Linked DNA regions of Lonchura striata. The protein of the gene in region 2 interacts with the protein of the main gene of each other region in a pairwise test. Links are inferred from orthologs where the notes say so. Each region holds a gene or a part of one and is shown on either strand. Other genes may lie near its edges.

Region 1 (7,156 bases), on a different chromosome or scaffold from region 2:
TTAATCTTATCTTAATTGCATGTGGAATGACTCCGATTGTCTCCAGGTTCTGGAATAAAGTTTCCAGTGAATATTTTATGCCCATATCAGCCAAACATAATTTCACACAGCAATAATATGATTCACAGGTCTACATTTTTGTAGGATGATTACCTGACCTGAAAGAGGATAATCTAAAATTATCTGTTAATGTTCTGTATACATAATACATGGAAGTACAGTTGTGGGCTAGGTCAAAACTTCTTATAATTTAAATTTAACTCCTCTCAGACTCTGTAGATTTTCATGGGTTGTGAAAGAGCTTGAGAAAAACCACTACATTTCATGTCCTGATGTGCTGTGTCCACTGTTGATTATCAAAAATCTCCACAAAACAAAAATGCTTTTGCAAATGAGGTTAAATATTTGTCTATGAAACATTTGGGTCACATCTGAAGAGGCACTAAAAAAATATATGAAATCTGTAATAATAATGTCTGTGTATGTTATTTCTACTCATGATGCACAATGTATACCCATGCAAAAAATTGCCCAGTGCATGTGTATTTTAACAATAAACACAGATCACTTTTGAACAGAGTATTTCTTTAAGAGGCTTCCAGATGGTACTGACCTAGACAAAGTCTGCTGAATTTATACTGGGAAATGATATTCCAACTCAACCCATTTTATATTTATATGTATGATTCTATATTATGGGATCAAAAGGAAAAATAGCTAAATACTTATTTCTTTAGGCATGCTTCTTGTAATCCTGCAGAATCCAAATCACTACAGTTTATGAAACTGAGGGACAATGAGTTGCTGGACTTGCTTCTTCCTCCAGATATTTATAATTATATAAAAGAAAATATTTAGATAAGAACTATAATTCAATACCATTGCTTGCAATGTTCAACAGACACTGATCTCCCTGACTTCACTAGTCAGCTGCTCTTTCTGGGGTCACAAAAATATGAAACTTGTAAACAGTAGATAAGACTTGGCACGGAGCTTTTATGTTAGCAAATACTACTGAATAGATGTAAATGTACATCCTGTCCTAGCTGGACATTTCCTCTGAAAATAGAAAGATAATGAAGGAAGAGGTTAACACGTTTGTGTCATAGGACTAAGATTTAAATTTTTTTTACATCAATCTACAATTCTACACATTACAGTTTTCAAGCATTCCATTTTGATTTTATTTATTTTATTTTGACTTTATTGACTACAAAGCTATTTTGACTTCTTAACTCCTTATATATTTCCTTCAGTCTGGAAATAATAAAGAAATAAGAAAAATTAACAGAACAGATCTCTGTGAGAAGCACAATCCATGTTTATTTTCCTTTAAAACTTTTAAAACACGCACTGATATTATTGCCCTCAGCATACCTATCAAAGGGGCCCCACATAAATATTTTCCTCTTGCATAACAGCACACATCTGGCTTGCTCTAGGCATGACAGTAAAGCCTTCTTATGCACAGAACAAGTCTCTGTGCATGGGAGATGTACTGACTCGTCTGATACAGAGATTTCTTGCAAATGATTGATAACACTATAAGAATGAGAAGTTGATTTCGTAAGAATTTTTCCAATAGAAGAGACTAGAACAGCCCACATTGCAGCTACCTGTATTCTGCCTGGTGAATAATTTGGTTTTGATGTGGGAGATCTGGGTGTGCTATGAGTGCACTAAGGAGATTTCAAAACCATTTTGGGATCCAGTCAGAACTGTCCAGCAGGCTGGATGTAGGTCAGAGGCTGCCAGGTGGATGGCCTTGCACTAGATGAGCTAATGGTCCCTTTTGAACAATAGTTATATACTCAACGCTGCACACAAGCAGGCCTCCTGAATTCTTGATTTCACATCTCCAGCTTAATAATTCCTACATTTCCTCAGACAAAGAGGTGTTTCATTTATTAAAGAAGGGAAATATATGAGTCACAATTTTCTACTATTAGTTTAGTACTCATTTTTGGATGTTTGGTACATCACAGCTCCCCCTGGGAGAGACTCACGAGGATCGGCCTGGACAGATGCTCTCAGCCCTGTTCAGTGCTGCTGTGAGAGGCTGGAGCTAGAAGAGAACACCTACACTTCAGTAATTTTCCCAAACTCAGCTGAATGTTATATCCAGAAGATGTACCATGTTATTTTAATTAATACAGGATTTTTTAGTGTCATTGAGGTGATTCTGAAAAAGGAAAAAAACATAGGTAATTTTTAGGCATATAAATGGCTAATACAGGTTGAACTAGAGATATTGATAAAGATCTTTAGATGTTTGCTTAACATATTCTTCCTTATGTAAATAAAATGCACTATAAACCAGGTAGTTTCCAGACTTACTAAAACTAAATTGTATTGTTTTTTAACATACCTCTTGGAAGTCTTGGAGGTAGTGGTGGGAAATGACACAACCATCTCTGAGAGAGGAAAAGGAGAACATAAGAGTTATGGTTTAGTCCATGTAATTTTATACTTGAAAAGCTATTAGGACCAAGTATAAACTGTTCATTTAAAACCTTCAGCCTAACCTCACAGTAAAACTAGATGGAGGAACCCATAGGAAAAAAAATACAGTGGAAAATGCTGTGAGAAAAAAAGTAAATGGTCAGAACAAACCATACCTTAATCTAAACCAAGCAAGCCACCAACACTGGACAGGTAGAAGGTGCTGGAATGGAAAAATTTAATTCTTGTTTTGTACTCTACTACAGTGATATCTTTAGCAATATTTCTATTTGGATTATAAACTATTGGAGATATAGTTCTTCTACTAAAAATTAGCTTTCCTCTACTTTAGAACAAACATTCATATATTTTTAAATGCAGGAGGCATCAACATTGCCTATGTACTGTTGTGTACCAGAAAACAAGAATGGGTGTGGCAGGCAACTCCTAGAATGCAAATAACTGTCTGAGCAGACCTACTGACAAGATCAACAGCACTGTTATGTTAACAAGGCCATTAAGCAATAAGCACCATGGGAAAGGGATGGAGTTCATAAACAAGTCAATTTTCAGGAATGAACATGGGCAAGCTCATTAGAGACACAGCATGAGGCTGCTCTTCTCTTGTCAGCTTCAGCATAGAGGCTGTCTGTTCTTACAAATTAAATTATTATATTTGGATGAGTACATTTTCATCTTGTGGCAGGACATGAAACCTGGATGACTAGGGGTCCCCTGAAGATTCCAGTGTAGAAAAGAAACCCAAGTTTGGTGTTGTCAGTGCTCAGGCAGGATGGCAGAAGGGCTGGTTGCAGCCCGTACCATGCACTTGCTGTCTCAGTAAGGTGCCTCGGCCAAATAGCCCAGGAGATCTTGGGATCTGCAAGCTGCTGCCTGGGCCTTTCCTTCCTCAGCTGCAGGGACCAGGAGCTGGAGAGGCACAGCTGAGCACCACAGAGTGAGACTTGCTGGGCAGTATTGCACTTTAGACTTTCCAGCTTTTGACACTGCTTCATGATACCCATTTTGGGTACAGCTCAGTCTGAATTATAAAGTAACACGGTGTTATGGAACTGCATGGAAGAGTGGCTGTGTGACAGTCAAGAGAACACAGGATGAAGGGGATCCTGTGGGTATGAGTCCTGCTTGTGAGGGGGTGTGTGGCCCTAACACTTGTCTTCCAAAATGTTCTGATATGCCAGACTAAGGAATGTACTGCGATGCAACTGTAAAATGCATCTAGAAGGGGAGACACAGGTACTCCTCATCTGCAAGAGGAACAGAGTTGAACAAAGATGATCCAGGGACTGGAGTATCTCTCTTATGAGGACAGGCTGAGAGAGCTGAGCCTGTTGAGCCTCGAGAAGAGACAACTGAGAGGGGACCTGATCCCTGTCTGTCAGTGCTTGCAGGGAAGGTCAGAGCAGGGACCGGGCTCTGCTCGGGGGTGCTGAGCCCGGACAAGAGGCAATGGGCAGGAACTGATGCACAGGAACTTCCCCCTGAACATGGGGAAGAACTTCACAGCACAGGTGACTGGAACAGATTACCCAGAGAGATTACACAGATTACCTCCAGTTCTGTCACGCTGAACCCGCCACACTGCACAAATGGACTACAACTCCCAGCATGCCCCGGGCCGCAGGGCCCCTCCCCCGCCGCACGCGCGCCCTGTCGCGTGGAAGGTGAGCGCGGGGCAGGCCGGGAATGCGAGTCGGGATTGGCCGGCGCGCGCCCCGCTTTCCAGCGTGCCGGGCAGCAGGAAGCGGCGGCGGTGGAGCGGGAAGCGGCGCGGCGAGAAGCTGCTCCCGGTGAGTACCCGGCGGAACCGCCTCCCCACCCCTCGGAGTGCCGCGTCGTCGGGCCGCGACCCGGCCGGGAATTGAAAAGGGATCGATTTAATGCGCGCTTTGATGACGTAATAAGGACTAACGAGGCGGCGGCGCTGCCGCGCGCCGGGCTCGGGGCGGCAGTGGCCAGGTCCCCTCTCCGGGCGCCCCGCGGGACCCCCGTGGCTGCCAGCGCCGCCCGCACCGCGCCCGGATCCCCCGAGCGCGGCGAGCCCTGGGCGCGGGCCAGGCCTTCCGCCTTCGCCCGCTCGGGGCGCTCCGCGGCCGCTCATTGGCTTCTGCGTCCGGGGCGGGCGCTGCCCGCGCTTCGCTATTGGCGGAGGTCGCGCTGACTGACACCGGCGGCCGCCAATGAGGCTGCGGGGCGCGCGGGCCGCAGCCCGCGGGCGGCGCGCGCGGGTGGCGGGAGCCCCGGGGTGGGGCGGCCGGGGGTGGGGGCGCCGCCTGGCGGCCGCTGTGCCCACGGTCCCGGCGGGAGCGGCACCGATCCCGCGTCCGCGCTGCGGGGCTGAGGGGCGGGATCGGGATGGCCTGAGCGCTGGTTTTGAGGAGATCGTGCGGCAGTGTGCATGAAGAACTCCTGCTTCTGCAATGCCCAGGCCACGGCTCCCCGCTTCCCAAGATGGCGGTGCTGTGGGCACGCCGCATCGGCTCCTCCGGCTCACCCGAGCTGCCCCAGCACTGCCCCGCCTGCGTCTGTGGGATCCCTGTGCGGGAAACAAAACATCTCCTGCCCGGAATCCGAAGAGCTCCTGGTGTAGCCCAGGAGAATAATACGAATAACATGTTTCATTGAGGCGGATTTGTAAAACTAGCTCGGCGAATCATATGCACATCACATGAAATGTATCCAGAGTTACAGGCTCATAAGACTAAGGCGAATCATATGCACATCTCATGAAATGTATCCAGAGTTACAGGCTCATAAGACTAAGGCGAATCATATGCACATCTCATGAAATGTATCCAGAGTCCAGAGTTACAGGCTCATAAGACTAAGGCGAATCATATGCACATCTCATGAAATGTATCCAGAGTCCAGAGTTACAGGCTCATAAGACTAAGGCGAATCATATGCACATCTCATGAAATGTATCCAGAGTCCAGAGTTACAGGCTCATAAGACTAAGGCGAATCATATGCACATCTCATGAAATGTATCCAGAGTTACAGGCTCATAAGACTAAGGCACTGTTTCGATGAGTCTTTCAAGGAAATGGCAAAGACAACTGAAGCAGTCCACTCTCTGCCGCACGTCTGTGAGCCCACTCATAAGTGGGAATTTGGATCTCTTCTGTCCGTCCTCCTTGGCCGCTTTGTTTTCCCAGTTGTACTTTTCACTCCTTCCTTCTAAGCAGTCACGCTCTTACTGAACATGTGCTGTTTTGTAAGGCCTTTTTCTTCAGTATGACCGAGGTTTTTAAAATGGTCGATGCAACTGCATTTAGATACATAGTACATTCACATTTTTATAATGAACTGCCTAACAGAAACTATGTTTCTTATTAGGTTTTGTAACAATTTTAAGAAAAAACTTTTTAAAGTATCTTGTATTTGCTAGGCTAAGGTTGCTTTATTATTTTGAGGTTTGGGGTGTTTCTTTTTAAGATATCCCTACAGTCAGTTTGGAAGTAAAGCAAAAACCATGGGAGATGAAAATCATGAGAGCTGGAGATCAAATTTTTCTTTTTAGGAATTATGTTTTTTATTGCAAGTCATCTACCCTATTGTAATGTGTCAAAAATTAAACTGTGACGTTTAATCCACATGAGTTTAATTCCCACATGTGACTTTAAGTGAAATACTAGATGGCAAAAGAAAGGCAGGAACTTCTGGTTGTCTCAGACCCATCATTACAGATGAAGTGAAGAGAATGCAGCAACAGCATCTATTCCCTTCCACCTCCTCTTCCTCTGCCCACTTGAAGACCCTCACAGTTGTTTCTAGTGCAAAATACAGAATATGTAGAATTGTCTCAAGGAAGGATTTGCTTTGATGTTTGATCTTTGTGTACTGTCAAGCCTCTTCAACAAGAAAGGAGATTTAATCCCTGATATAGAGAGCAGCCGACATAATGTCCGGGTGTTAGAAAAACAAATTACTTTTGGGTAAAATTGCCTTCTTAAGCTTACAAAGACATACTTCAGTGATCTCAGACCTAAGGGCAGGCTAACAAAAGCCTGGGAAAATGGGTGTACCACTGATAGTGGACACAGAGAATCTAGAATTTAGAGGCCACAGGGACGTGTAGCAGAAACCCCAAAATAAGGAAGAAACTGATTAAGCAAACTTAGCAATTGTGTTGGAATTGGCTCCAGCTGGGTAGCAGGTAATTCTTACTGAGGGAGATTGCAACGACCCACCCAAGAAACCTGATCCAAAAGAAGAGAGAGACTGAGCATGTGGACTAATTAGCACAGGAAGCAAGAAAATCATTAACCAGTAGAAGAGAAAATACTAATTAATTAGGGAACTATGTTACTTGTAACCAATGAACACTAATCCTTTTGCTTGGTAAAATGTATAATAATTAGTAAAAAGCTTTTATAGTGGGTACTTGATTGTGGAATTCTCCCGGGCACCCAGGCCTGCACAACTCTAAAATAAATAATCAATGTCACCTCAAGTGTGTAGTTCTTGGCTCATTGCACACCAGGTAACGAATCCGACTTTCGCAGACAGCGTTTCTGTGATTGACAATGTAGCAGTAGCAGGTAGGGCTGGATTTCCCTAAGTAGTTGCTTCTGCTCTACTTATTTCAATTCTCTTGAAAGAGAATTTTTGTCTTGGCAAAACAGCTTCTTCATGGGTGACTTTTTTCTGAGAGACAAAAAGGAGTGTGTTTTGTGGTGTAAACAGGAACT
Region 2 (7,681 bases):
CTATAGCACAGCAGAGCCTATCTCCAGGATGAACATGGTGAAAAGGGACCACTTTACTCTCCTGCTTTTCTGAATGGGACTGCAGGCACTTTGGAAGAATCTTCACTGTTCCGGACTCATCTTTTGTTTCATGTTTAGCGACCAGAGGTCTTGACTTTTTGACCCTTTGTAGGGCTTCGAAGGACTCAACCACAAGAATAAGTGATAGCCAGCTGTTCAGAGACCATGATGGCAAGTAGAATAATAGTCTAGGCCCAAAATGGTACACTTTCCTAAACTGAGCTTGTCAGGATGTGAAAGGGAATGGCAGAAGTCCTGAGACACACAAAGCTGCTTCGCAGCTTAATGCGGTCCTCTCCATTGTTGATGTGTGAAAGCATGAGATATCAAAGGAATAAATAAAGAGTATTGGAATTCATTAATTAGCTAACATGGAAATTGGAAAGTTATAACTGATGTTCATTTACAGAGGTAGAGGCATCACTCAATAATCAGATCATAACACTCTGTAATAACCCTGTGTTTACATTTGTTTAAAAAATGTCTCCTGTTATATGCCTCTGTTAAAATGATGAGGGAAGAGGAAAGACTGTATTGTTTTCTTTGGTATTCTTTATTGTCACAGTCTCCAAGGTGAGCATTTTTGCATGTGAATTGTCTCTCTATAATTTTGTTATTAATACTATTGCTGTTTATTTTCTTATCTCATTGCTGTTTTCAGTAAATTTTTCTTCCCTCAAGCTGTTGTCTTCAACTTTTGTGCCTCCAGTTCTTCATTCCATCCCACCACACGGGGAAGCAGGAGGGGAAGTGGGACCAAGAGAGAGCAGTTGTTTGAGAGAGTCTTGGTGGGGGTACTGATTTGGAGAGAACCATTCCTAAACCATGGCACTGAACAAGCACTCTCCCAAACTGTGCTCAAAATAGTACTAGTCCCCATGCACAAACTGGTCCCAGTACTTTATTTCCCTTAATCATTAGACAGAATTCTTCTTGTTACTTGAATTTCTCAGGCAGATTTCATGCCCTCTTATCAAGAGAAAAAAATGCCAAGTAAAGACCATTTTACACCCCAAATGTAGCAGAAGGCTTCTGTTGAGCTGTCCTGTTTATTTGAGTGGTTTCTCCACCTTCCCACACCAAATAATGCTGCTCTATATTCTAAGTTGTGAGCTCTCTGTGGTGTTAGACGAGATCTTTTTGTGGAAAAACCCACAGATATGTACCATGCCCTCTGGCCACCTCTGTTAACTCCTGTACTAGTTTTTGTCTTGGAAGTAAATGGTTGGAAACACAGAGACTCAGCCTGAAACCTTCTGACCATGGAGAAAGCTTTCTGTGATACCACAGATTTTCTTTCTATGGTGACTCCAGCTAGAAGATCCTCTCCCACTTTCACTAGTAGTTTCCAATGCCACATTCTCACTTGTGCTGCTACATTTTTTTGGGGGGGAGCACATGCTGAACCAAGCAGGAGAACAAGCTGGGTTATATTATGATTTTTTAAAGAGTATTTTGAGGTGGCTCAGTGGCTTCAGTACAGACCCAGGCAGGGCTGTACTCACCCATCTGAGCCAGCTCTGTCCTGTGTTGTGGTAGCAGAGGTGGGCATCTGGGGGGTCATGCAGGAGGAGAGTTTTGGAGAGATGGAGTAGGTTTTGTTGACAGTGGTGTAGCCATGGGGAGAGTTATCCATGGAAACACGCACCATACATTGAAAAGACCAGCTAGATTTGCCACCTACGAATGCCACTTTGTGAAGGGACATTAATATGTCAGTGAGCATAGGAATGGCTTTAGGAGACTGGAAAAAGGCAAATTAATTGCTTCAGGAAAAGTTTCTCAAAGTTTTCCTTTCTTTTTGAAATCAAGATACACCATACAGGAGGTGAGGCACTTGGCACTATGGTTTAGGGGTGATTATAGTGATGTTAGGTTGATGGTTGGACTAGCTGATCTTGGAGATCCCTTCCAGCCTTGATGATTCTTTCATTCTGTGACAGAAGTCTAAGCTTGTAAGACAGACAAGCTTTCAAGCACACTCTCTAGTAGTACATCTTCATGCAAGGGGAAGGTGTGAGGCTTACCTGAGCCTGAATACCTGGGCTGGCTTAACCCAGACATCTTTTCACACATTGGCAAGGGAGATTGTGATGTAGAGTACAGCTTCATCTGGAGCATACCCCGGGAGAAATTAGCACTGGCAGTACAACTAACCTTCAGGCTTATCTCCACATGAGGCTGAGTTGACAAATGACAATCACACCTTTGCTGCTTTTTTATCAGTGACAATTTAACCATCCCTTTTTATTTGCCTGATATTGTGGAAAATGACTGATTCCTCAGGAATGTGGTGGTCACTGGGAGTGCTCAGGGCTGCATTCTGGGGACAGAAAGCAGGGAAACTGAAGCAGCTAGAGTATGACAGATTACTGTCATAATCCTAGGTTACAGGCTTACTGTCATAACCCAGGTTACAGCTACCACCTTAAGAGGCAGTATCTGTGGGCCCAAAATAAGACAGATGTAGCCTGACAGGTTAGATATGGGACACAGGTAACTCCTGCTGGTTCTTTCATTTGTCTTTGTGGGTGAAGTTTCTCTATCATCATTTACAAATGTCATATGTGACCTTCTATACATCTCAGATCTACACTCTGGTTCCCCACCATGTGCCTGTAGCTATTAACTTCAGTTCTAAAGTGCTGAAGAGCTGTAACAGGCATTTCTGTGATACATATGAATGTCTGAAATCCTGGGCCCCAAAGTTGTTTATTTTTAGGATAGATATGCTTGGCTCCTGCTTCTGAAGCAGGCACTCCTCCATCACAGTTGTGGCCATTGCAACCCATGCTCAACTCACACAAGTTTAGGTTTTCTGCTCTCCTTGATAGAAGACGTAATATGATGGAACAAGAATTATCTGTTTGCAGTAGAGGAGAACTGCAAACAGAGGGTTATTTGTCATACAGGAGAAGGAATTGTGAGGGCAGACTTGGCCATCAGCAGACCTGGCAGGGATGGCCCTGCTGGCACACTGCCATGCCTTAACAGGGTTACAGAAGAGAGAGATGCAGATGCCTCCTGCTGCAAGAGCCAGACCTCACCTGGATGTGTGGCTATAATATGGTCTCAACAGCTCTGGGGAGTTAGTTATTGCAGGGCTGATGACTGGTGAAGAATGCAGACTTTTTTCCAGGATATGAAGTCTTGCACTGTATTAACCGACCATTCAGATAACATAAAATCATATTTTAAAATCATTGAAGCATATAGATAGAGGTGATTTCATTTGTTTCAGAATAAAATGTACTGAAGGGTGACAAAAATCTCCAGTAAAACACTAAAACCTCCAGCAGAGGCCTGAGGGTTGTTAAATCACACCCAAAGGTGGGGGGGGGGGGTGTTAGAGCTCCTGCTCGGAGCATTACTTCACTGTGGAGAGCCACCTGCCTATGGTCTGAAAGGAAAAGAGCTGTGACCAAATGTGAATAACTCAGATTCATCCTCCCAGATTCATCTTTCAGACCACCCTATACTTTTACTTGAGGGTCCTCAGGCTTAGTGTCAACAGCTAAAGGACAACAAGTGTTTGAGTTTTGCTGGGCAGTGGCTTCCAAATTATGAAACTGATTTCCCTGGAATCAATTCCTAAAGTCTTAGCACGTGTCTAAGACCCTGGGCCAGAAAACAATTTAAACATGTGTGAATGCCCATTGGCTGAAACATGCCATGAGTTCTCAGTGCTGAGAACAGGCTTTTGTCTCTTCCTAGGACTGTTGGATCATGGGCTCAAAAAGCAAGGTAGGGAGCTGATCCCAGAGGGGCAGTGGGATGGGCAAGGATCCAAGTGCTAAAAATACAGTGGCCTCCTTGACCTGCAAACAGAAAACATTTCCTCCCATTCACTCGGTACAACTTTGGTGCTGGGTGAGCCTTATGTGGGGAAAGAGGCCACCACTTTCTGCAGGGACAGCAGGGACAGCAGTGATGAGGATGCAGAAGGAGGGCATCCTTGCAGAGAGCTGTGGCTGCCAGTCTGGTAAGTAAGTGTATGGCACTGTTTTCCCATTAAATCCCTATTAACTCAGTTTTAAAGGAGAGCCTGTGCAAGCGTGTGTTGTAGAGAGGCTCCTCGAGGCAGCTCAGGTAAGCAGTATGCTTTATAAATTCTGCTTTTAGTGTCTCTTTTTTAAGATTCTGCTAACTTAACAAATAAATCACATTTTTTAATATAAGTGAGATTGAGATTTATTTAAACTAGAGAATGGTTGGAAATTCAGGTTTTGATTATTATTTTTCCTCTGTACTTCAAATTAAGCGTGGGCTATTAATGGCAACACAGAAGTTCTTGTGTAATGCAGTTTAAGCTGGGTGCTTTAAACCATTTAAACATAGAGGATCACATTCACCTTTCTACAAAGCCACTAAAGTGATAGGAAATAATATTTAAATATTTTTTTCAGACCAAAACATTTTCATTAAAATTAATATAGTATGTTTATAAGCCAAACTAATTTTGCAATAAATGGTTTAGTGTATTTAGTACAGAGTATTTATATGGTTACAGATAAAGCAAATGCATCATTTTGCTAGCTATTAAAAATACTTAATAATTTCAGTTGGAGTACTCAGCTGTAAGAGCTGTTTTCCATTTCAGTGAACTTTATGCTGTGGAGAGGAAAGAAATGATTTCTCCACATGGCTGAGCATCAGGTTTCTTTGAGCATGGAAGCAGGCTTGTAAAGGGTAGGTGTTTATGCTTGCTTGTTTCCATCGAGAGTGTTCTCTGACATGCAAATGACCTTCCAGCTGCTAGCAGGCTTTAAGCAGATCTCCTTTAAAACCTTCTGCTGCAAGCCCATGTCAGCTCAGGCCAGCATGTGCATGGATTAGCTTTGTTTTAGCAGGCAGAGTTGTAGTTCCTTTAGTGCTGTGCTGCCACAGCTGGGTGAAAACCACTCAGTGGCAAAAGGGGAAAACTGTATAAATTATGTGCAGATCACAGGCTCTCTTGCCCTTTTCCCTCTCTGAATCCAGCTCCACCAGGGATGATTTCCACTTGAAGGCTGACTTGGAGCAACACTTTCTGAAGTAGTCTTTATAGTTAATATCTGGGAGGTTTTGTCCTGTTTTCTTTAGCAGTGCTCACTGTCTAAAATAGTGAGGATGTTTAAAAAGTGAGAATGTCCCTACACTTTTGAGTAAGCTGAGTGGTGCTTTGGGCGAGGTGATTCACTCAGCCAAAAAAACAGACACATTTTTGAAAAAAAATTATCTCTGCCTAGCAGGAGAAGTAGTTCATGGGTAAGAATGAGCAGCCAAGACCAGGATAAGGCAGTATTTATCTAAGCCATCTGATAATAGTTAACTAAAAGATGCCTGGCAGATGGCATGTTAAAACTGACCAGAGTATAATCTGGAGTGAAGAGAGAGGGAAGAGAGAAAAGCCAAAAGGAAGAGAGGAGGGAGAAGACTTGTATCCATCTGGAGTTTCACCCAGGATGGCTGAAACATTAATTTTTGGGCAGCTATACATGTTCCTGCTTCATAGAGTCTCTGAGGTATAACAGGAGGTACCTGGGGAGCACAGGGAGCCCCTCCCCAGTGCCCTACACTCCAGTCACACCTGTACAACAAATAGCTCTCCTGTCATGTCACCATTCATCTATGCAAAAATGACTGAGCGGATGTTTTGAGGGACAGCTAATGTTGCAGTGCATTGCTGAAAGGAAATCTACCCATGACAGCATTGCATAGTTGAACACCAGGCTTCCATAAATAATTAGGAAGGCAAATCTTTGCCTTTTATCTTTGTCACAGTGACTGGAATGCACCTCACTACCTCCAGTGATTACAATTCATGCAGCACTAAAACCACAAGGTATGCTTTTCACATGCCTGATGTACACCCCTCCACCCACCAGCATTGCTCATAAATGTCCCTTTTTTTCCAAAGATACCAGGACCCACTGGCAAAACTCGGAGACTCACCAAGTATTGCTTGAAACAACAATCTATTGTTAAAAAAGAGGAGCTCTTCACAAAAGACATGTCTGATAGGTCCAAGGAGTGACTGGTGAACTAAAGTATTTGGAATGTTTGTGTTGTGAGCATGATGGAAGAAAGGGTTCAGAATAATATTTTGTAGGCAGTAAGAAGTTTCAGTAGGAACTTTGCTCCACTAAAAAGACAAATACTGATAGAATCCAATTTAAACTAGGTGCTGTATTTATTACCATTAATAGCAGTTTTTATAATAATAGCAATAATCATAACAGCAATAATCAATCAATGTGGGATGGGCAGCCAGCAGCAGGGAAGTGAAGATGTAAGGTGATTGAGGATGAGTCCTAGACCACTCCCATTGTCTTGTGGTGTGTGTATGCTAAACTTTCAAAATAACTGGTACCAAGAAGAGGAATTTTGATAATGGCTACCAGCTTCCATGGAAAAAAAAAAATCTTTCTTATCTCTGCATGTCTCCACCTATGGTGCCACCACTGGTTGTTCTCTCTAAGTACCTACAACACAGCTGGCCAGATGTTCTTCACTCCTTTGGCCTTTATCACAGCACAGGGGTTGAGAGGAAAACCTTGAAAGGGTTTTATTCCAAATCAGTCTGGCACACTGTGGAAATGCACATAGCAGGGTGTTAATGCTGTCTAACCTAACCTGTCCAGGCATCTGTCCATACCCCTACTTGAGCTGCCTCTGGCCCAACTTCTGGAGGCCTCCATTAACTGCAGGACTCATGAAGTTTTTTTTATGGATTGAGCTAAAGATCTGAGTCAGGTATGAGCAGAAAAGGCTGACACAGTTCAGAAAGGCTGTTGAATAAGAACAAGATAACATTTTGTCAGGACATGTGTCAGAAATTGTATGTCTGCAGCTGATCTTGCCCAGGGGCAGAAGATCCAGCTTTGTTTTTCTGTGAATCTGTGGTGTTCAGTGAGTCCCATGGTCAGAAGGAGGCAAGCTGGAGGAAATCACACAGAACCTGAATTTCTCAGGGAGTTATAACAGCTTAGGAAAAAAAAGATAGCTTTGGGAAAATGTGAAGAATAGCAGAAATTTAAATTTTGAAACTTGCCTGAGGCATCACTTCTGGAAAAACCAAGTTGATACAGCAAGTAGTGGCTTGATGTGGCGTTATTCTTATATCTCTGTGATGTTCATTTTCAATAGAAGATGGTGCTAAGTGAGGAGGGAAGTGTGTATTTTTTGCTACAAAATTCAATGCCTTTATGACAGACCCTCATGAAAGGCTTTGGCAAACCTTGTCCTTGTGCCTGGCACAAACTGTACTGAACAGAGCGTATAAAGTCACAGGTAAGATTTTTGCCTTCAGCTATTTGCAAGCAGAGTTGGTTTAACATAGAGCAATTTGGATGAATTAGAGAGTTTAAAATGCTTCCCATCACCTTATCCTCTACTGCTCTGTCTCTCTGCCTGCAGAACTATTTTTATGGCCAGATCCTTATCTGACCTCTTTAAAAACCTTGGTGCAAGGGGTCAGACTGGTAGGCACTCATGTCTGCAGAAGTTTATCTGCTTGTGGCATCAGTCAATGTCTCATCTCTTAGGTTGCCACTGAAATTGTGCTAAGGTTGTTTGCTGATTGGAGAATATAACTTAAAGGTTGGCTGTTTAAAACATAGATGGCCTGGGCCATATGGGC
Region 3 (7,052 bases), about 12 Mb from region 2:
CAAGGTCTGGGCTTAATTAGGATCGTTCTGGATTTTATGGGAAAAGCTTTGTCCTGGCAGCTTTACATAGCTAGTCTATCACTTGTAAGGTTATCTGCTTTTTTTTTTCCTTTAGTACCTACATCAAAATACTTTTCCACACAGCTTTTCCTTTTTTTTTCCATCCTCCAACCAGCCGGATGACAACCACTCCTTATCTTTGGCTGTCTTCCATGCTAAAATAAGAATGCCGTTGTTACGCCGAGGGAGCTGCACCCTTCCACCTCCGTTCCCTCCTGACCAGCACGCAGCTGGCTGTGCCGGAATGCCCGAGGTTCCATTTTCTGATCATTTTTCTGTGACATTGTTGCAATTTACCCTTTAGCCATAATTTCTATTTCTAAATCACGCCAGGCCTCTCGTGCCACGCGTTTTGTAGCCTCAAGTGACAGTGCGTGTCCTGAAGAGCTGGTGATCCTCAGCCCATCCCCACTGCCACTCGCTTCCCTGGCCTGACTTAGGCTCGCCGACACAAGGGCAAGCACGCAGCCAGACACAGCTCGAAGGGCGCCGGGTGATTCCACCAGCAGCAGAGAATGACTGGATTAGAAGAGGAGCAGGATTAGAGATTGATGAGTTGCTGTGAGGCTGCTATGTCTGTATGATTGGCTCCAGCAGCAGTATTTGAATGTCAAACTGTGTCCCCGCGGAGCAGAGGTAGCACCTACACTGGGTTTCAGACTGCTGTGTGCAAGGCAGCTGGTGGCAAGTAAGGGGTTTGAGTTGGGGTCTGAACAGACAGCCCTGTACAGATGAGACCTTGGCAGGTCAGGCAGAGATGAGGAAAGAGGGAAACATGGAATGATTTGCCCACAGCTACACTGGCAGCTTGAGTCAGAGGCAGAAACGGGAGCCAGATTAAAAAAAAAAAATTAGTTCCTCATGCAGGAGATGAGCCAGCAGCCTTTGTTACATCTAAATGCATTTTTTCCCCTGTAATTCATACTGCTGCAGGCTCTGCACAGTGAACTCAGCATCCTGAAGTTGTAGGGTGCTCAGTGTGACCTGCTGATTGCACACGCCAAGCTCACTACACGACCAGCTCCATGCTCCAGCTCATGCCTACAATGCAATCCGTGCATGTTGCAAAAGCACTTGCTTTTTTTTTTTTGTTCGGAAGTGACCAGGACCCTGCAAAACCCATCACTGAGTTGATTTCCAGCCTGACCCAGATAGCTCTGGCTGCTGGATCGCCTCCAGAATTTAGTGTATACACAGAAACTTAGCAGCACTCTCCAGTCGACTCAAAGAGTTATCCCCTCTTCAAATTTGGCTTCAATCATCTCTGAAGGTGAAAGAGACTTAAGCTTCCCCTATTGGAGCTCCTCACAGATATACTATAGAATTCATCAAAGATGCCAAGGACAAAATAGTGAGGATGCATTAATTGATCAGGTTTCTCTAGCAGAGTGGTGCAGGAAACCATCCTGCCTATCAGCAGCCTCCTCTGCTAGTTACTGTGTTACATCTGATTAACCGGGGCCACTCACAGCGTCATGAAATGGAAGGAAAGGCTTTTCAAATTTACATATTAAAAAGACGGAGGTGTGCTGATTTCTGTCCTACGGAGTGTTTCAGACATAACATTAGTAATCAGTAGCGTATTTGTGAGGAAATCTTTACTTTGAATGCCAAGCCGATTTGCTAATGATGAATGACATGAAAGGTTACTTAGGAAAAAAGAAAAACATTTCCTCATCAAGTTTAAACGGAAAATACCTGAAGAATTAATGGGCAACCAGATACTCTTTCTTCTTTAACAATACACCCCCATTAGACAATATATATACTTTGAATCCCGCATTTTAATAATTTTTCTCTTTAGAAAAATAATTCTGACGGAGAACGTGCAAGAAAACTACCATCAACAGCGGTAAATAAACCGAAGCCGAACCAATCTCTCAAAAAAGAGGTTTGTTGGGGATTGCATGAGAAAAGGAGAATAACTGCCCTGCAACTCCTGCCCAGGGTGCTTGCACCCCGCAGCATCCCCCCGGAGGGATGCAGAACTTCTGGAGCACGACACTTCAACCCTGGCATTCACCGCCACGTACGCCCGGACCGCTGCGACGCCGGCGCAGATGACCCACGCCCCGCGACAGCCTCGTCCAGAAAAAGCCATTAAGGGAGCCGCAGGTGACAGTCCATCCCTCCTAGCAGACTTCGCCAGGAAGCCGGGCGACAGCGGGAGGAATTTCTGCCCTAACTTCGGAAGGGTAAATTCTCCTCCCGCTTCTCGCCTGTGACCGGCTACGCGAGGGACCCCAAATCATCCCATTACCGCCCATCTTGAAATCCATCCTGCAGAAATCCATTGCAGTCTCCTTTCCCGGAGCGCGGACCGGGCGCGGAACGCCGCCGCGGCCCCGCCGTGTGCGCCCCGCCGCCCGGGGCAGGAGCCGCGGGGGGCGATGCCCGGCCGCCACACGCGCCGCTCCTCCCGCGCACCCACGGCCGGGATTTCGGAGAAGTTGCGCAGGCAGCGGGAGGAGGAGGAAGGGCGGGGGTGGGGTGGGTGGCTCTGCTCGAGCGGGCACGGTCTCGCCCCGTCCCTTTCCCCGCCGCGGTCCCTCCGCGGCCCCCCACCGCCGCCGCAGCCCCACGGCCGGGACAACCCGCACAAAGCCGCCGCCGCCGCCACCGGGATCTCGCTGCGCCCGCTCGGCGCCACCAGAAACAATAGTCACGGGCCGAAGCGGGGACCGCGGGGCCGCCGCCCTCCCCACGGTACCGCAGCGCCCGGCCGCCGGTGGGAAGGAGGCTTGGGGGGGTGGAATTCCCGCAAAACGCCGCCGCCCGGCCAACCTGTCACCGCTCCACCCGCCCTGGGCTGTCGGTGCGCATCCGCTGCGCGGCACCTACCTCCGGTGGAGGGTGCGGCAGCCCCTAGCTGGGCTCCATGGGGCCGCAGCCGCCGCCCGCTCTGTCAAGCGCGGCCGCCGCCGCCGGGGACGCGCCGCCCTGCCCTGCCCGGTACCGCGTCCCGCTCCCCCCGCGCCGGGCGGGCCGGGGCGGGGCGAGCGCCGGGGGCGGGGCCGCCCAACCTGCGCCACGCCCGGCAGCGCCGCCCCCGCGCCCGCCGCGCCGCGGGCAGCCGCGGGAGCGCCGGGGTCCCGCGGAGCCGCGGCGGCGCGGGCGCTCGGGAGGATGCCGCAGCAGGCAGCGTCATCATCCTTCATAAATCTCGTGGGGGTTTTTGCGCCCTGCTTGCTTGAAGTTTTGACCTTGTCTCCTCTGCGTTTATCTCGGATTTACCACGATTCTGACTTCCTGTTTATTCCCCTTCCACCTCGTTGCCCTTTTTAATTTCTCCTCCCGCGCCCCCCCCCTCCCCACCCCCGATCTTTTCCATCCTCGCTTTCCCTTGTCCCCGTTTTCCCATCAGACTCTGAATATCCCATGCCTCTTGACCTCAGTCTCTGGGCTTCAAAACGCTTTTGTCAAGGGCAAAATAGTTTTTTGTAGGTTTCAAATCGCTATTAAGTGTCGCCAGCAGCTTATTGGAAGGTGCAGTGCATTAAACTAAATCCATGGCTAGTATTACATAATATACCCTCGAATGTACGTAAAAGATGATTGTAATTCCATCTGGATTTCTGTTGATATTAGCAAACCGCTCAAGATTTCCTCTTGTGGTTTAATGGGCTTTTCAAAACCTTTGACTGGTGCTGGATCAATCAGATTATGATTTAAGAAAGGGTAAAGCACACACACTCACGACATCGTAGGAATTAGTGAAAGAAGAAAAAAAAAACTTAGTAGGTCATCTGCCTAATCCATCTTCCAAAAGAGAGTAGGAATGTCCCCCATACAATAATTTATGGGCATTTGTCTAGTTTTCTTTCAAATGCTCCAAATATGTGGCTTCCTCATTGCCCATAGGAATTTAGGTCAAGCTGCCTGAGAAGGAATTTTGTAGCATCTTGGGATTTAAAATCCACTACTGTTATTCCAAGGTGGGTTTTTGTTTGTTGTTTTGGTTTGGTTTGGGTTTTTTTTCCCAGACAGCACAACTGTACAGTTGCAGTTGGTCATTTATTTCTTGCCCATCATCATGGAAGGATTTTGGCCATCACTTTCCTTAGGTTGAGAGCCCAGGAACATGCACAGCTGAGAAAATGTCAGCTTCATGCTCAGTGTGGCCAAAAGAGTGACTCAAATGTCAGGACTTGTTAGGAGAGCAACGAAGAGGAAAAGATTTTACACTAGAAAATGTGTGCTGGACCTGTGCGCTCAATACTGCAGGAATTCCCGTCTCACCTTCTCAAAAAGAACATAGCAGAGCTGTAAAAGATTTGGAGGAGGCCAGCAGTGATAATCCATGGCTTGAAAGGGTTTTCAGTTAGGTACATGTACATGGGCAAGAGGTACGAGAGGGGAGATGTGATAGAGGTTCCTCAAAGCTTGAGCAGCATGGAGAGGGTGAGCAGGGACTGGTGGTCCTGGCTTCCAGCACAAAAGGGAAAGGCTATTAACAGGACCACCTGACTGTACAGAGGTGATTCTTTGTGCAAACACAGCTGTGGAGCCCTTTGCTATCTGACAGCAGGCAGTTGGTGTCATTCTGAGGGGGAAATTAATTAATTAACAGGAGAGAAATCCAAGAGAGCAACCAAATCACAGCTTGCTCAGAAAGGTCCCTCCATGACAAATGGCTCATGGCTGGGCTTGCTCTTTTGCCCTTTCCCCTTGGTGTATGTTGGTAGTCACTGATCACCTCACAGCAGTGAATACACCTCTCAGATTTAATGTTACAGCTGTGTTAATTCTGTGCTGCCCACAGGTTTCCTAATGCCCTTACTGCATAGATTTGAGTAGTAAAAGGGATGAGTGGCTTTCAGTGGGAGAATGTCACTGGTGTACCAACATGTGGCATATCATGGAAGTTAGAATCATCAAAACCCTCTTAAAAAAACATCATTATGCATTGAGTCACCAAAGAGAGCGAGCACTGGTTGCAAAGAAGTTTCTGTCACTCTTCTAAAATGTGACAGAAATAATCAAATCTAGCTGTGGCCTGGGGACAGTAACCTTAATTTAAAATCAATCAAAAATCCCTCTCTCAATGGCAGCTGATTGTCCCAGACTGATGCCCTCCCAGGCCTGCCATTGTCAGTGCTGTTACACAAGTGGGTAAGCATTGTGTTGTCTCCTTGTCTTCCCTCCTCCTCCATGTCTTTGAAGCTGAGACAGCATGGTCTCAAGCATCTCTGTGTTTCTGGCAGAAGAATTTTTTCTGTGCATTAATTTATAAATCTGTACATGTATGTCTCAGTATGGCTGTTTTATCCATGCAGCTTCTCCAGAAATTTGCCAGTACAATATTGTATCTTGGTACAAAAAACTAGCTCTGGTGAGGTGGGTTGCCACACAGGAGGCAAACTACAGCAAGAATGAAAATGAAGGAGCCTAAACTATGTATGTGAATGACCTTGGTCAAGTGACTCACAGTCGTAGTCTTTTATGGGACTGATCCCATAGACTGTTTCCACATTGTATTCAGGTAGATCAGGATAATCATCATCTGCCTGTGAGGTTGCTCCACCTCCACCTAAATCTCAGCACAAATTCACATATGCGGCACTCTTCAGCTCCCATATAAACTGTGTTCTGAAGTTGGGTGTCTAAGGTAACCCTGTAGAGAGGATCTGCATCAACCTGGTGTATTGTCTGTGCTGATAAACGTGACATCTTTCCTTTTGCCAAGCATGTAAAGCAATCAGCAGTGTCAGTCATCTCAGCCTATCACTTGATCACTCTTTGATCCCAGAATAGTACAATACAGTAGCAAAATTAATACTGCCAGGTGTGATTACTAACGTAGCAATCCAGGATGCGTTGCAAGCTTTAAATTCTGCATAAGCAGCCACACTGCAAATGCTGGGTGGGGAAAACTGACAGATGAGTTTACACAGTCTGTTGGGAGCATTCAAAGCCCAGCAAGAGTGCTCATTGCACCTAAAATGGGGGTTCTGAGCAGATGCAAGTTTCATAGTGACAGAAGTAATTTTCAGGGTTTCCTCTAATAATATATAGGCAGTAGTAAGCCTGTGGCAAGTCCAAATTGAGTACTGAGCAGCTTTTAAATTGTTTAAGGTATTATCTATTATAAGGAAGTTTATAAAGCTCCATCTCCATTATTTGAGTTTTCACAAGGTCATAATCCACTTGACCCTTGTGGTTTATTTCATCACTATTGTCCCTCAGAGGAATTATAACCTTTACCATTACCACTTGCTAAATATATCACAAGGTTTTAGTGATATTGTCATAAATCACCAAGCTCAGCTTTGTTGCTTGTAATGTGACCATAGTACATACTAGTTTTGATGCACTTATTGTTAGCCTGATCTAGTTGTAGTTCTTTAATTATTTTATAATGGGATGACCATGTGCTAGCAGATATGAATGCATATTTGTTTTCCTTTAACATTTAAAAATTGCCTTTTTCTAAGGTGGTCTGAACTTCAAGTGCAGGCTTTTTAGGCAAAGTTTCTTCAATCAAACATGGAAAATACAAGCTCATGGATATTGAAACCAAGCACAGTGACTTCAACAACAGCATTCTCACAGTTGTTTCTCTTTTCAATTAAATGTGTGAGCATTCATTAGAAATCATATGAAATTTGATCATCATGAAAGCATTTAGTGAGAAAAACAAAGGTATCACACATAGGCAAAGTTCATTACTCTATGTGTTTTTAAAAGGATAAGCTATAGGGAAGCTATAGATAACTGAGAATTTTGGATAACAGTAATGTATATAACTATGCTGCTTTTTACATTTCAATTTGTTTTCTAGCAGAAAGTTGGTCCCATGTCAGCCCCCCAAAAGTCTTAAAGAGAATCTGCCATAGCAAAGATGTGCTACTGAAGCCAATCTTCAGTTGCACTTAAAGATCAGCTTGCATCAGAATAAGTTGGCCTCAAAACTGTTTTGACAAGACATACCTTGTTAAGCAGTAATTGGGATCCAGTCAAGCTGCTTCTGACTCCAAGAAGGATTAACCATT

Evidence for each region.
Region 1: the proteins of FHL2 (region 2) and ZNF131 interact in binary tests that used the Homo sapiens proteins (3 or more experiments, as listed by UniProt). The two-hybrid records come from large-scale screens. The link is inferred for Lonchura striata from reciprocal best matches to the Homo sapiens genes FHL2 and ZNF131.
Region 3: the proteins of FHL2 (region 2) and RAI2 interact in binary tests that used the Homo sapiens proteins (3 or more experiments, as listed by UniProt). The two-hybrid records come from large-scale screens. The link is inferred for Lonchura striata from reciprocal best matches to the Homo sapiens genes FHL2 and RAI2.

Annotation. Positions count from the first base shown.
Region 1 is NC_134642.1:35,167,762-35,174,917, reverse strand, and holds the start of ZNF131 (zinc finger protein 131), read left to right. Parts: upstream 1-4,133; 5' UTR 4,134-4,253; intron 4,254-7,156. UniProt on the Homo sapiens protein: Plays a role during development and organogenesis as well as in the function of the adult central nervous system. May be involved in transcriptional regulation as a repressor of ESR1/ER-alpha signaling.
Region 2 is NC_134604.1:89,246,679-89,254,359, reverse strand, and holds the start of FHL2 (four and a half LIM domains protein 2), read left to right. Parts: upstream 1-4,665; 5' UTR 4,666-4,749; intron 4,750-7,681. UniProt on the Homo sapiens protein: May function as a molecular transmitter linking various signaling pathways to transcriptional regulation. Negatively regulates the transcriptional repressor E4F1 and may function in cell growth.
Region 3 is NC_134604.1:101,279,654-101,286,705, reverse strand, and holds the start of RAI2 (retinoic acid-induced protein 2), read right to left. Parts: upstream 3,024-7,052; 5' UTR 2,902-3,023; intron 2,861-2,901; exon of another isoform or gene 2,845-2,860; intron 2,340-2,844; exon of another isoform or gene 2,321-2,339; intron 1-2,320.